Linked DNA regions of Anolis sagrei. The protein of the gene in region 1 purifies or fractionates together with the protein of each later gene. This does not show direct contact. Links are inferred from orthologs where the notes say so. Each region holds a gene or a part of one and is shown on either strand. Other genes may lie near its edges.

Region 1 (7,613 bases):
TTTATTGCTTAGGAGAACTACGTCACAGAAGCTTTTGACCCCAAGACATCATAAAAATGACTCAGCCATTGAAATGACCGCAACATAGAGCATAACAGGTCTTTTTTTTTTCTTGCTGGTGTTAATCAAGGATGCATAGCATTCATTGTGCTATATTTACTCTTACCTGGCTGGCAAATAGGGCTTGGAAACCAAAGCTTTCAGAATCCCAAAGCAAGCATGGGCCATGGCTATCTAAGGAATGGTGTGTGTGTGGGGGGGGGGGGGGGGGAGGTGTTATAATTCCAAAAGTAAGTTTTCCAAACTCTGCTGTCAATTGTCTCAGGGTACATCTACACTATAGAATTAATTCAAACTGACACCACTTTTAACTTCCACAGCTCAAGCCTATGGAATCATGTAGTTTTACACGGGCTTTAACATTCTCTGCCAAAGACTGCTGGTGCCTCGCCAAACTACAACTCTCAGGATTCCATAGGATTGAGCCATGGAAGTTAAAAGTAGGGTCAAACTGCATTCATTCTAGTGTAGATGCACCCCACATTCCATCTGGATAGACATCAGCCCTAGCCAAGACTTTCTGACTCCCAGTCTCACCAAACGATTAACTCCTATGATTCCACAATATTGTCAGACTTTTCCCCAACGTGCTAGAACTCCCAATTGATCCAATGAGACACACACAGGTTGAAGGCGGGAACAGAAATCCATATATTCAGCAATGGTCAGAACGGACATTGGGGGATAGCAATTCCCAAATCTAGCACATTTTCCAACTGTAAATGTGGGCATTATAAAGAGAATTATACACATTTGGTAATGTGACAAACAAAGACGATAGGCGCAGTTCCAGGATCCACAGTTTTATTAGGTGAAATGTCCATTATTGGCCACTGATTGGCTGAGTCTGTGAATCTTAGCTGCTGATTGGGCGAGGAATTTTAATAAACTGTCATTGAATGTATTTTAAACTGCTGTCCGTTTGTGTCCACCTGAAGTTGGGAAGGAATATGGGCTGGGTTCAGGGAACAAGAGGTAGCTGATGGGCTTCTCCTAGTGATATAGGTTCCAGGAGATTTCCAGATGTTTGTCAGTAGCCATTTTAGTGTTCTGATGGGTCATGAGATCAACCTTTTGTCCTAAAGGGTGATGTGTACAACTTAATGGACTGATTGTTTAAGTCATACTTGGGTCTTTGGTGAGCTGGGGAAGCCAGGCTGGGTGCCACTCCTTGCCTGTTGTGTAGGTGTGAGTCGGAAGACGTGTGATGCTTGTGTACCCTTAACTTATGGATGGAAAAGCAGGTTTAGTATGATTTTCCAAAAATTTCCAGAGATGCAACCAGGAAACCGCTCCAGGTGATTTATCCAGGCAACTAGGGCTCCTCCTATTTTGAGGGGCTTTTTTCAGTAACAACAGCATTGAGCCATTGAAGTTAATTTGATGGCAAACTGCATTCATTCTACAACAGGGGTCCTCAAACTAAGGCCTGGGGGCCGGATGCGGCCCTCCAAGGTCATTTACCCGGCCCTCGCTCAGGGTCAACCTAAGTCTGAAATGACTTGAAAGCACACAACAACAACAACAATCCTATCCCATCAGCCAGAAGCAGGCCCACATTTCCCATTGAAATACGAATAAGTTTATATTTGTTAACATTTTAATTATTGAATTGTTTTAAAGTGTTTTTTTCACTACAAATAAGATATGTGCAGCGTGCATAGGAATTCATTCATTTTTTTTTCAAATAATAATCCGGCCCTCCAACAGTTTGTGGGCCTGTGACTTGGCCCTCTGTTTAAAAAGTTTGTGGACCCCTGTTCTACAACATAGATGCACTATTTGGCCTTTTTAGAAAAGCATGACCTTTTAGAAATCATAACCTTTTAGAGAAGTGCCAAAAACCCATTTGAGTAGAATCTTCTCAAGTGATATACAACCAAATATAAATATGCAAGGCAATTGGCTTCAGTTGTTAGACTGAATAACCTATTGTCTCTGATATGTGGAAACACAGAATATGCCAGTGCAGAAAAATTGTAGTTCTTCAGAAGTATTTTTCAGTGCCCAAAATATATATGTACTCTCCCATAAAACAACTTGTTTTATATTATGCACTCATGAGACAAAATAAAGTTGACTTTGGTAAAAAAAATAATAATGGTTTTACTCACAACCTTCATGTGTTCAGCATACACAGGTACACAACCTATTAATTAGCTACAGATATGTTTGAGATAGTTTCTGTGCCATCTGGTCAGAAAATCTTTTATAATAAACAGCAGACAAGTGTTTGCAAGTCTGCAATCTGAGCAGTCCCAAAGTCTAAAGAAGTCTATACTCTGTGCTTGTCCCAGAGAGGATCATGTGGTCTGCAGCCCCTCCCATAACTTCTCATGAAAACATAGAGCAAGGAAAGAAAGCTGCATACCAAAACATACAATAAGTAAGCAACAGGATTGTAGATAAACAAATTACTAGAGGAGGCTTGAAGAAGGTTGTAATTTCCAACATTACAGAAAATTAGGGCAACAACAACAATAATATCTTGGATCCATCCACACATAGGGTGCTTCTTCCAAATGATAGTTCTGTTGTGTTGCGGTCCTACCTCACAGACATGAAAAGGGGTCCTGATGATGACATTGTTTTGTAACATTACTATATTTTCCCATAGCATCTTCTCTCTTTTTTTCATAGTGGAGAAAATCATTTAAGGAGAAGGTGAAATCGACGTGGAATATCTTTTGACTGGTAGCAGAGCCACCTAAGAGGAGATATGAGACTATTCTGCTGTGCCTGCTGACCGCTTATACTTTACATGGAGAACACTGTCATTTTACAATGAGAAGTCTGAAGTAAATCCAGTTGTTAAAGCTTTATAACACCACTCCTTTAGGCTACATTATTCTGTTTGAAATCCACTCCAGTCAGTCTAATGAGGGTAGCTGATGGTTGGTCCTTTCAAACACACCCTGTCCACATTTGCACATTTATTCATCCTTATTATTGACTTGAATATAAATTCCTATACCCAATCCTTATTCTTAACCATCCTGTATTCTGTATATTTTTCCATTTTTAATTAAACCTAGCTGCCATTCCACAGTTGTGGGTTTGACTTTATTTATGGGTTTGATTAAAACATTATCTCTAGGAATCTCTAGGTCTTCTAGTGAAATTATATGATCAGGTTCCAGTGGAAATTTATCATAGTGTCATGCTGGAGGACCTAGAAATTCCTAGGGTCACTTGGGCAGCAGCATTTTTTTAATTCATGATTTTCACTTTTGCGAGGTTATTGTGCCTCTAACCCCAGCAAATGTGGAGGGCTGACTATGGGTAGAATTGGCTGTTTGCAAGGACGTTGCCCAGGGGAGGCCTGGATGTTTGATGTTTTTACAATCCTTGTGAGAGGCTTCTCTCATGTCACCGTATGGAGCTGGAACTGACATAAGGAGCTCAACCTGCTCTCCCCAGATTTAAAATGCTGACCTATTGGTCAGCAATCCTGCCGATACAAAGGTTAACCCATTGCGCCACTGTAGGTATCAGTCAAAACAATATGACTGATACCTACAGACTGATGGATGGTAAAGAACAATCCCCCTCACCGTGCTAAGACAATACCTATCAGCAATTAAGACAATCAAATACACAATTAAATTTTATTCTGTTCCTTCCATAGAAATGTGCCCAGGATGGTTGTTGAAAGGTCTTAATATGACCAATGAACAGCTTTATCGTGCTGGTCAAGTACCGTATTTCTTCAGTTCTAAGCCACACTTTTTATCTATATAAACATGGGGTGTGTCTTGGAATTGCAGGCACATCTTAAGTATTTTTGTTGGTGGTGTTACTGATATTAGTGTGTATCTTAGAATTGAAGAAATACAGTATATCTGGATAAACTTAAGACCTTGTAGAAACTGAACAATTTTAACACTGCTCTCAGATATGAACTGAAATCTTCCGATATTCAAGGATGTCTTAAAAGCTTGCAGGTTTAAAACAACAACAACAACCCAACGGCCTTTCTTTGTACGGACAGGATGAGAAAGTGCAAGGCTTCCTGTTATGTGTGTGTGACAGCTGTAGATAAGTGGGGAGGCCCAAACAGGAAATCTGCCTTACTTCTGCAGCGTGACTTGTCTGAAGCTCAGGAACCATCTTAGATCGAAGCATCAATGGCGTGATGTGCTGTTGTTGCTGATCCAAACATGGGAGACATGGTAAAGGAGAACCTCGAGGAGGAACCTCCGTTGCCTTTGGAAAATGAGGGCTCCAAGACCAGGGGAGAGCTTGTGGAAGTCTCCATCAATGAAAGGGTTAAATTCGATGACACAGGCTTGTCCATGGTCCTGCAGAACGGCTTGGAGAACCTCCGACTAGAAAACTCTCTCACCGATGTCACCTTGTGTGTGGGCAGCATGAGCTTTTCATGTCACCGTGTGGTCCTTGCAGCAGCAAGCAATTACTTTAGGTAAGAGATGCTGAAAATTAACTACGTTTGTGTATTGGGATGTAAAAAGGCAAGTGATGAGACAGGTAAGCATTTTTTTCAACACTTGCTTATATCCTACCTGTACTCTATCCGTTTTCTGAAAAGGTATCCATGCTTTGGTAGTGTGTTAGAAGAAGATGGTAACCAAATGTTATGACTGTTTAAACTTCCGTTTTTAGGGATACAGGAAAACAAATAGTAAGAATACTAGGTTGCTTTTCTTTTTGTCAGTGGACGCTCATTGGTATTTCTTCTTTCTAACTGTAGAAGTCAGTCAAATAAGAAAGCAGTTGGAAAGTAAGGGAAAAAGTGTTTAGTCTCCCATCTTGTGCGGATCCAAGGAGAAAAAGGATCAGATAATTAAAAAATAATAATCCCTTCTGATTATAGTAATAATTGGGCTAATGCTGTAGGGTCTATGAAGTTGAAGACGGAAACATTGTTTATATATTTGGATGTGAAAATGAAATATGCTAAACTGTTCTAGGTATCACTGTGAACTTTTATAGGTAAGTTGTTTCTATGCTCCGCAGCAAACATCTCTATGAACGTTTGTGCAGTTATATACCTGATTATGAAAATTAGCACTATACTAAACAGACATTGATCGTTCCATACTATCCTCTCTTCCTTTCTAGTTAAGTGCCTTATAACATCTTACATCCTCCCACTGTTGAGCAGCCAAGTGTTGCAAGAATCCTGCACTGAAGAAGAGGTTAGATTAGATAATCTCCAAATTAGTTTCAGCAATAACCTATGATTTTAACATATCAGAAGTCAGAGAGATAGCCTTTTGTATGGTATCTTAAACAGTCAATCTTCATAAGTATAGATGAGGATCAGCCATACAGTGGCCAAATGCTGGATGGGACTGATTCATGGTAACATGGGGCAAAGCCATTTTAACACAGTCTTGTCCCATGCTACCCAAAATTATCCTCAATTTAGGCTTAACGCGGTTTAGGGCTAGTGAGGACAGTTGGCCCGTTCTCAAACAGAACCAGCCAAAACTGCCCCCACTGCTATCCTGTGTTTTCGAAGCTCAGGCAGCTATGGGAATCCTTTGGGGACACTTATTGGAGCTGATACAGCATGCCAACCCCAGAATACATGTCAGTGTAGATGTGCTCCAAGTCTACCCAAGGAACAGGCATGTAGCCAGGGGGGGGGGGCCTCGGGGGGCTTCAGCCCCCCCCCCCCCAAATTCTCATGGTGGTTCGCGAAAAGGCCTTACTGGTGCATTATTTAAACTGTTATGTTTATTTATATCATGATCTGATTACCATACTCAATATATCCCATATGCATGGGGGTATTGGGGTAATAATACAAAAGGTTTGCTAGGCTAGACCCTCTTTCACTCAGACTCAGCCCCCACCGAAACTCAGCCCCCCCAACCCCCCCTGAAAAAAATTCAGCCCCCCCCCCCCCGAAACAAAATCCTGGCTACGGGCCTGCCAAGGAAGTCCAAATTAATTAAGATTTTGACTGCTGCTGCTAGCATATGATTTTGCTACTGCACTGTAAAGGCAAAGGTAAAGGTTTCCCCTTCACATTAAGTCTAGTCGAGTCTGACACTGGGGGGTGGTGCTCATCTCCATTTCTAAGCCGAAGAGCCAGCATTGTCCTTAGACACCTCCAAGGTCATGTGGCTGGCATGACTGCATGGAGTGCCGTTATCTTCCCACCAGAACAATACCTATTGATCAACTCACATATGCATGTTTTTGAACTGCTAGTTTGACAGAAGCTGGGCTTAACAGCGGGAGCTCACTCTGCTCCCTGGATTCAAACTGCCAACCTTTTGGTCAGCAAGTTCAGCAGCTCAGCAGTTTAGTCCACTGCTCCACCAGTATGCATATCTCTGTATTTTTTAAATTTTAATGGTAATATCCCAATGCTTGTTTCTCATATATGACATTCAGATATTCATTTACTGAATGCTGATAGGTTTCATGACCTATTGGTCAAAGGATGACATCAATGACAACACCATTCTAGCTGGGTAACTTCTAACTTGGTTTTATTATTCTTCCTATTTTCCTTTGAAGATAAGTTTTTAAAGAGGTATTTGTTAAGGGTAAACATTACTCTCTTTCCCTCCCCTGTAATTTTTCCTTTTCTTGTGTCTTCCTGATATATCATTTACCCAAGGAAAGGCACAACATCATGCTTAGCTAAATTTCTTGGGCTAAATCCACTATTTATTATGTATTTATTGCAGTTATATACCGTTTTCTTTTACCCCTGGGGGGACTCAAAGTGGTTCCCAATATAATCAATGGCAAAATTCAATACCTTACATGTATAAAATATCACGTATCAAATCAACAGCATATTATAATAGATTAAAACCATTGAAACCATAAAACTATAAACAACAATCACAGACACAATGTAAAACATCTGTTCCAATTAGGGTAGATCAGTTAAAACCTATTGGACTTGATGGACTTGAAGCGCGCTTGGTGGGGACTCGAGACAGGGCCTTTTCTGTGGTGGCCCTCCCGACTCTGGAACACCCTCCCAAAAGATCTTAGACAGGCCCCTTCGCTGGCAGTCTTCAGAAAGAACTTGAAGACCTGGCTGTTCCGATGTGCCTTTTCAGATTAGGGACCCCCAATACCAAGTCCTAGAAGCACTTTAGTAGAACCAAGATCACTGCACACTGCACTTACTTTATAATCCTACATACCTCCTGCCACATCAGCACTTTTAATCTTGTACCCATTTCTCTGGCCTGGCCCAGTCTTATAGTGTCTTGATGTCTCGATGTATTGTTATTGCTGTTGTTTATTCTGCTTAACTGTTTTTAATTTGCTTTAGGTATTGTATTGTTGTATTGTGTTTTGAGGCCTTGGCCTATGTAAGCCGCATTGAGTCCTTCGGGAGATGCTAGCGGGGTACAAATAAAGTTATAATAATAATAATGATGATCTGTGACATAAAATTTCCAGTCTTTCCAGTAAGTTTAGTCATATTTTTTAGTCCATTGTAGCTGTACTAGGTACAAAGGAGAAAAGTTTGAAAGTTGTTGCTGATTATTTATTTTCATGAGTGCACATATGGGTTTATGTGAACAGGTGCTATTTAATATTACTCTCGTTGT
Region 2 (8,369 bases), on another chromosome or scaffold:
ACTACAACTCCAAAACTTAAGGTCAATATCCACCAAATTTCTCCAGTCTTTTCTGTTAGTCATGGGAGTACTGTGAGCCAAGTTTGGTTCAATTCCATCATTGGTTGAGTTCAGAATGCTCTTTGATTGTAGGCAAACTATAAATCCCAGCAACTACAACTCCCAAATGACAAAAATCAATCCCTCCCCCAACCTCACCAGTATTCAAATTCAGGCGTATTGGGTATTTGTGCCAAATTTGGTCCAGTGAATGAACATATATCCTCCATATCAGATATTTACATGACGATTCGTAACAGTAGCAAAATTACAGTTACGAAGTAGCAACGGAAATAATATTGTGGTTGGGGGTCAGCACAACATGAGGAACTGTATTAAGGGGTCATGGCTCTAGGAAGGTTTAGAAACACTGCACTAAAAACATGATGATGAAATTATAGTATTGCTAGATGTTTTAAGATGGAATTAAAGAAGGAGGGTCTGCTCACACTCAAATTAGGGAACCCTATATGCAAGAAGAGCTGGGGAGTATGTTCTTGCTTGTGAAAATATAAAAAGACTAGTTTACTAGTGAAAAATCAATGGCTATAAGCAGACAGTGAATTTACATGGAGTCAGCAGCAGTGCGACAGACGACATGGGGTGCTCTGTGTCAAAGCAAAATCCTGAGCAGCTGATAAAAGAGCCCAGTGCTCTTTGACACGCAGGCTGCTGAAGGTTGTGTTGCTATTTCCAGTCTGGAGTTGCATTACAAGATTTAAGGGTAGGACGGCAGGGGAGGTCTCCTTCTCAGGCTTGGCAACTGTCTTCTTATTCTCAGGCCCGGGCGGTAGTCTTTCTCCCGGCTGCCTCCACCCTGAGATTTTGTTTCCCTGACCTCTGTGGATGGGCCTGTCCTAAAAGGTCACAGCCATTCCAAGAAGGCTTGAGAGGAAGAAAAGGCAGCAAACGGTAGAGGTCAGGCAAGGTGACCCACTTCTGCTTGTCTTCAATTCCCATCATGTCCTAGCCTAATGGCTTCCTGCGAGACTTCATCTCCTCCCACCAAGTTTGCAATATGCATTTATTTATTTATTTAGTGTCAAAAGCATTGCTGACCAAAAGGTTGGGAGTTGAATCTGTGAAAGGGGTGAGCTCCTGTTGTTAGCCCCAGCTTTGGCCAACCTAGCAGGTTGAAAACATACAAATGGGAGATCAGTAGGTCACACTTCAGCAGGAAGGTTATTTATTTTATTTATTTATTGTGTCAGGAGCAAACCAAAACAGTTGTATTGCATTAAAAACAAACAAACAAACAAAACACAAAGTTTGCACACTTGGCATTATACTAAATTATCTTTGACCAGTAGCTGGCCACTTGGGAGTGCCTCTGGTGTTGCTGCAAGAAGGTCCTCCATTGTGCTCAAATTGCATTGCAGTAGGTAGTCTGTGGTTTGCTCTCCTCCACACTCGCATGTCGTGGATTCCACTTTGTAGCCCCATTTCTTAAGGTTGGCTATGCATCTCGTGGTGCAGGAAGGTAACGGTGCTCTATGCAGTCATGCTGGCCACATGACCTTGGAGGTGTCTACAGACAACAGGGGCTCTTCGGCTTAGAAATGGAGGTGAGCACCCCCCCCCCCCCCCCCCAGAGTTAGACACGACTAGACTTAATGTCAGGGGAAACCTTTACTTTTACCTAGCTTGGTCAATGGCAGGGCTTCAGCAGAAGCTGTGTGTAAAAATTAACTACTTCCTTTGGTTTAACACAGTGGTCCTCATCCTGTGGATCCCCAGCTGTTTTGGTCTGCAACTCCCAGAAATCCCAGCTAGTTTATCAGCTGTTAGGATTTCTTGGCGTTGAAGGCCAAAACATCTGGGGACCCACAGGTTTGAAACCACTGGTTTAACAGAAAGGACATAACAACAACAACACTTTATTTATATTCTGCCCTTCTCACCCCAAAGGGGACTCAGGGTGGATCACAGTACACATACGTGGCAAACATTCAATGCCGCTTTGTATAGACAATACACAGACAGACAGAATAGAAGGAGGTGCCATGGAAAGTTGGGCTTGAGTCCAGGGGGTGCTGTTCCTCTATCCTCTTATGCCGAAGAGCCGTCAGGACTTCCTCCTTCCTTTTGGTTGCCCAGCATTTTCTGATCTTTTTTTCTTTATGGTGTCGTAAAATACCTCCCCTGTTTTTAGTGGTACCTAATTTCTCTAATCACAGCTAAAGCTGTTTTCAAATTGTTTAGGTAAACAATGAGGTAGGCTAACTCAAAAAGGTTGAACTTATAACCTTTTGGTTGATAGATCTTATAATTGCTGATGATTTACCAGCTTTGCTAAACCTCCGGCCCCAATCTCATATCTTTAATATTTTTACAGTAGTTCTGAACCACTTCAGGTGTACGTACACTTCAGGCTTCCGGGATCTAATTTGTATTTCACAAAAAACTATCACTAATAAAAACAGTGCATGCTAGTCAATTTTGTGAGCTTATTGCAAAATCTGGTTTTGAGAGAGAACAGGTGGAGGTGCTCCTGCAGGGCATTGTTTGTTTGACGTGTCTTATCCCCACCCCTCCCTTCTCAGGGATGTCTGATGCAGCCATCATGGAACTCAACCTCCCGACTGGGATTCCCATTGTGTATGAATTGGATGACAACCTGAAACCTACAAAGCCTATGCAGTTCCTGGGTGATGAAGAGACCGTGAGGAAGGCCATGGAAGCTGTGGCAGCCCAGGGCAAGGTCAAGAAGTGAGAAGACAAGGCATTGGTGAAATAAAACATCTGAAAAACTGACTTGTGTGATTGAGATCTGTCCAGCCAAGGGAGAGGGGTGGCTGACATTTTGCTATGTTGATTATAGCATCATGCTATATGTACATTAGTGGGAAAGAAATAAGAATGTGTCTTAGCTGAGGAAACTGAGTTTGCACATGGCAAGAAACATCAATGGCATCCTTGCTTCATTTGAAACATGCATGGTTCGTCCTCAGTGCCCAAAGAACTGCCTTCAGTTTTATGGGGTAGTTCGGGGGCATTTTTATAAATTGCATTCAAAGTACAAATATACATTGAATAATAGAATGCACTGCAGAATTTAGAACTGCTCCTATATTCCCCATCTTTAGGAGTGCTCCTGCAGTCCCCATTTTTAAATATGACAAAAGCGGATGGGAGTTGTGATATAGCAACACCTGGAAGGCTATAGTTTATTCTATTTAATCGGGGAATGAGGTTTGAAAGTGGATGCAAGGCTTGGGGAAAGGACTCATTACCTTAAAATGTAATTTCAACTTTCCCAATCTCAGAGCCACAATGGCTGCGAGATTGCAATTCCCATTATCCCTAGTCAGCACGGCAAATAATCCAAAGCAATGGGAAGTGTCATTCAATAACACCTGTGGATCCAAATTGGGCAAAAGCTAAAGCGCACCAACCACAATGTATGTCCATAAAGGTGCTGTTCGATTATCCGGGCAGACTCCAAAAGGAGGCCTAGACCAGGCATGGGCAAACTTGGGCCCTCCAGGTGTTTTGGACTCCCAATGCCCACAATACCTAGCAGCCTCAGGCCCTTTCCTTTCCCCCCTCAGCCACTGAGTTGGAGTCCAAAACACCTGGAGGGCCCAAGTTTGCCCATACCTGATGTATATGTGTGCGTGTATATGTATATATGTTTGTCTGTATATATATATGTGTGTGTATACATGTATGTATGTGTATATGGTATATGTGTATATATATGTATGTGTTCGTGTGTATATATATATAGTGTATATAGGGTAAAAGGTAAAGGTTTTCTCCTGACATTAAGTCCAGTCGTGTCCGACTCTGGGGTGTGGTGCTCATCTCTATTTCTACACCGAAGATCCGGCGTTGTCCATATACATCTTCAAGGTCATGTGGCCGGCGTGATTGCATGGAACACTGTTACCTTCCCACCGGAGCGGTATCTATTGATCTACTCACATTTGCATGTTTTCGAACTGCTCATGCCGCTCCCCAGAATCAAACCTGCGACCTTTCAGTCAACAAGCTCAGCAGCTCAGCGTTTTAACCGACTGTGCCACCGGGGTGCCATATATATATATGTGTGTGTGTGTGTATGCATTTCTACCCTGCCCTTCCCCCCCCCCCCCGACCTCACTCAAGCATCATATAATGCTATCAGCATATAAACAATTAAAAATTACATTTAAAACATTAAGAATAATTAGAAACACATACAATTCATTAAACAATAAATTAAACATGCCAATTAAAAGTAAATCCAAGTAAGGAGGATGACATTGTACATGTACATGTTACAACGGCTGTGAAGGCAGAAGAAGGCTGCAAAAGATTGAGAAGCCACGGTCATGTTGGTAAACTATGCCACCCAAGGAACCTCACTCTGTGAAGACTATGTGTTGATCAGTGTGCAATGACCTCCACGCGTTAAAAAAATTCACGCATAGGCGTCTTCCAAGTAAGGGTAATAAAAACATACGTGTATGTGTGTGTATATATGTGTGTGTGTATATATATATGTACGTGTTAGTGTATATATAGTGTGTGTATATATGTGTGTGTATGAGATATATATATATATCTCACACATGTATGTATGTGTGTATATAAAACATACACAGTATATATATATATACAGTGCATATATATATATATATATATATATATATATATACTTTGCTTATATACCGCTGTTCTCAGCCCAGAGGCGACTCACAGGGGTGTACAACATAGGAACAACAAAATTCAAGACATAGTATAAAAACAATTCTGGCCCCAGAGTGGCCGTTGGTGCTGGGGGAGGGGCGCCGATGTCACAGGGGACAAGATGGCAACGTCCTCCTGGCTCTATATATATATAGTTGTTACTATATAGTTGTCCCTTTGTATCCAGGGATTCTCCCTCCATGAATTCAACGGCCCTTTGAAGGTAATCGTGAGGCTGATGGAGTCCTCGATGGAAATCAGCCTGACGCCCATGAGTTCAACCACTGCAACTCTACACTTTCCACTTTTCTTTGAGCGGAACCATTCCATCGGTTGGCTCGAGCGGAAGTCACTCCGGACGTCTTTTCCCAGCGGACGCGGGGCCGGAAGTGCTCCGTCGGCGCCGCAGAGCCGAGGTTACCGTGGCAGCGGGAGGGAGGAGGGGCGGGCGTGGGGCCTTCTTCCGGTGCAGAGGCCGGGGCTGTCCGGCGGGGAGCCTCGCCTTCTCCCGAGGGGGCCATGGAGCGCGCCGGCGCCATGACGGACATGTACGACCAGGCCTTGCTGGGCATCCTGCAGCACGTGGGCGACGTCCAGGGCTTCCTGAACATCCTCTTCGGCTTCTTGTACCGCAAGACGGACTTCTACCGCCTCCTCCGCCAGCCCGAGGACCGGCTGGGCTTCCCTCCCGGGGTGGCGAGGAGCATGGCCCTCCGGGTGAGTCTCCTTCGGCCCAAGGCCCTGCCAAACCCAGCCTTTGCTTATTTATCATATTTTACCAATCAAGCTGTCTGTCTGTCTATCTATCTATCTATCTATCTATCTATCTATCTATCTAAATGCTCTGTGCATAATGAGTACCTTAAAAACAAAAGAACCAATGAACGAAATCACACCACATTTGGCAACAAAACGTCTCAAAACACAAGGAGTGACCATCACTCAAAAAATCATGATTTTGTCCTTTGGGAGTTGCTCTTGCTGGGATTTTTAGTTCATCTACAATCAAAGAGCATTCTGAACTCCATCAACGATGGAATTGAACCAAGCTTGGCACACAAAACTCCCATGAGTAACAGAAAATACTGGAAGGGTTTGGTGGGCATTGACCTTGAGAGTTGTAGTTCACCTACATCCAGAGAGCATTGTGGACTCAAACAATGATGGATCTGAACCAAACTTGGCACAAGCACTCAATGCACCCAAATATGAACACAGATGGCGTTTGGGGGAAATAGACCTTGACATTGGGGGTTGTAGTTACTGGGATTTATAGTTCACCTACAATCAAAGAGCATTCTGAACCCCACTAATGACACAATCGGGGCAAACTTTGCACACCAAACCCCCATGACCAACAGAAAATACTTAGGGCTATACGGTGCAACTCAAGTAAAAGTAATCAAAACCCTCCTGACAAAGAACCATCCAGCCATAGATATAGATAGATAGATATGGTTCACACACAGAGAGATATAGTATCATAGATTTGAAAGGGACCCCTGAAGAAGGACAATGATACGTTGCATGTTCCAGAGTAGGCAAACCAGACACTCTCCGCATCAACACTGACAAAGAAACAGCAAAAAATACTGTTTACCCACAAGCATAAAGAAATTACATTTATTCGAAACCAACACTTCCTCATTACTTTATTTTCCGGATCGCCAGACTGGGCCACGACAACGCGTGGCAGGGGACAGCTAGTTTACTATATTTCTACTCTGTTTTTCTCACCCCGAAGGGGACTCAGAGCGGCATACAGTTTGGCCACTTCAGTGCCTCATTGCAAATACACAGTGTATAAATAGAATACAATACAAATCAAAGCACAATGGACATAAAATACAAGACCAAAACCACACAAGGCATAATAACATTCAGAAATAAATTATAATAAATATTAAGCATTAAAAATATTTAAAACCAATTACAAATATTTGCTAACTTCACTCATCAGTGATAAACATGAGCCAGTGAGAAAATTAAGAAAAGTCTCCATAAAATAAAATCTATATAAATAAAAATGTAATGTTCATTTGTGAGCTTAACATAACTCAAAAACCATTGGACAAATTGACATCAAATTTGGACACAATACACCTATCAGGCCAACAAGTGACCATCACTCATAAAAACACTGAAAAACACAGCGGAAGGGACTTTAAAAGGCCCAAAAACCAAAAAGATGCTATAGCGGTTGCACAAAAATGACTCCCCTGGCAAATAAAACACACAATAGCAAATCCACACTCTCTTCCAGACTACAGCTCCCAGCATCCCCTAGACCAGGCCCTTTAGGAGAAGAGGATGATCTAAATGTACTGCTTTCAAGCTGCAAGATTTATTCTCCTTTGAGATCTTTGAGAGCATCCCAATTGCTGCGTATTTCCAATTTCCTATTCCTGGACTGAAACTCCCAGATTAGATAGATTTATATAGGAAGGTAGGTAGATCGATCAGGAGGACTGCTGGGAGTTGCAGTCCAAGAATAGGTAGAGAAGGAAGAAAGGGGAGAAAGAGGAAGGGAAAGAAAAGGGGGGAAGGGAAGAGGAAGAGAATGAAGGAAGGAATGAAAGGTAAAAAGGGAAGGAAGGAAGGAAGGAGAGAGAAGAAAGTTGGCCACAGCAAGGCGTGGTGGGTACAGCTAGTAAATAAAATAAAATCTGAAAACAAAACAAAAACAAAAGTCCCCACTCAAGCCCAGGAGGAACAGAGTCGAAAGATGAGTGTAGGCAGAGAAGTCAGTGGCCTCAAACCAAGCCAAGCCCAGTTTCAGTACTAAGTTGATGGTCAAAGGGGGGCTGGTTGGTAAAATTCAGGCTATGGATAGCTAGTGGTAAGGCCACAGCATGGTAGCAGGAAAAGGTGGCAATGGTAAAGGAATATACTTAGGAATATACTTCTGGCATGTGCGAACTTCAGCCCTCCCTACCGCCAGGTGTTTTGGACTTCATCTCCCACAGTTTAGGAATGATGGGGCTTGAAGCCCAAAACACCTAGAGGACCCAAGTTTGCCCATACCTGATATAATTATTCCCCCTGTCAACGCTGTCAGGTAGTAAAAGCTGAGAAAATGGTCTTATTCCTGGATCACATTGTATTTCTTTTTGTTATTATTATCAACTTTGGCCCCCTTGTGGCGCAGCAAGTTAAACTGCTGAGCTGCTGAACTTGCTGACCAAAAGGTTGGCGGGTTGAATCCTGGGAGTGGGGTGAGCTCCTGCTGTTAGCTGTAATGTGTTTATTAATAACATGTATTGTTTATACACCCACTACCCTGTTAGCCCCAGCTTCTGCCAACAATTGTTTTTAGATTGTATGATAAATATCTTAACTGCCCATTTTTGAAGCCATTATGGAATAAAGGTGGATATGAATTAAATCAATTAGTACTTAGCTTTGAAAGCCACTCGTAATACAAGCGTTTGACCATGTTTAGGGATTATGAATCACTATACTTTTAAACTTAGTGAGTGATCATTGTTGCGCTTTATGAGAATGAATATTGCTCATAGCCTCTATTTTATATCTTGTTGGTTCTTTTAGTATTTTTAATTGATAGGGGTTTTATTGTTTTTTTAAATGTGTAATGGGGTTAATATTATTGTTATTAATTTAACTTTTTATATTTTGTTGTATGTTTATTTTGTGGC

What was found. Proteins that work in one complex are often made in the same cells at the same time.
Region 2: the proteins of KLHL6 (region 1) and NUDCD3 purify together in Homo sapiens (affinity purification with mass spectrometry; 3 studies listed by BioGRID and IntAct, counting the BioPlex papers as one, with this or other methods). This does not show direct contact. The link is inferred for Anolis sagrei from reciprocal best matches to the Homo sapiens genes KLHL6 and NUDCD3.

What each region holds. Positions count from the first base shown.
Region 1 is NC_090023.1:219,354,947-219,362,559, forward strand, and holds the start of KLHL6 (kelch-like protein 6), read left to right. Parts: upstream 1-4,147; 5' UTR 4,148-4,220; coding exon 4,221-4,483; intron 4,484-7,613. UniProt on the Homo sapiens protein: Involved in B-lymphocyte antigen receptor signaling and germinal center formation.
Region 2 is NC_090027.1:15,421,663-15,430,031, forward strand, and holds the start of NUDCD3 (nudC domain-containing protein 3), read left to right. Parts: upstream 1-5,101; 5' UTR 5,102-5,232; coding exon 5,233-5,430; intron 5,431-8,369. Other genes in the region: PGAM2 (phosphoglycerate mutase 2), read left to right, coding at 2,583-2,752.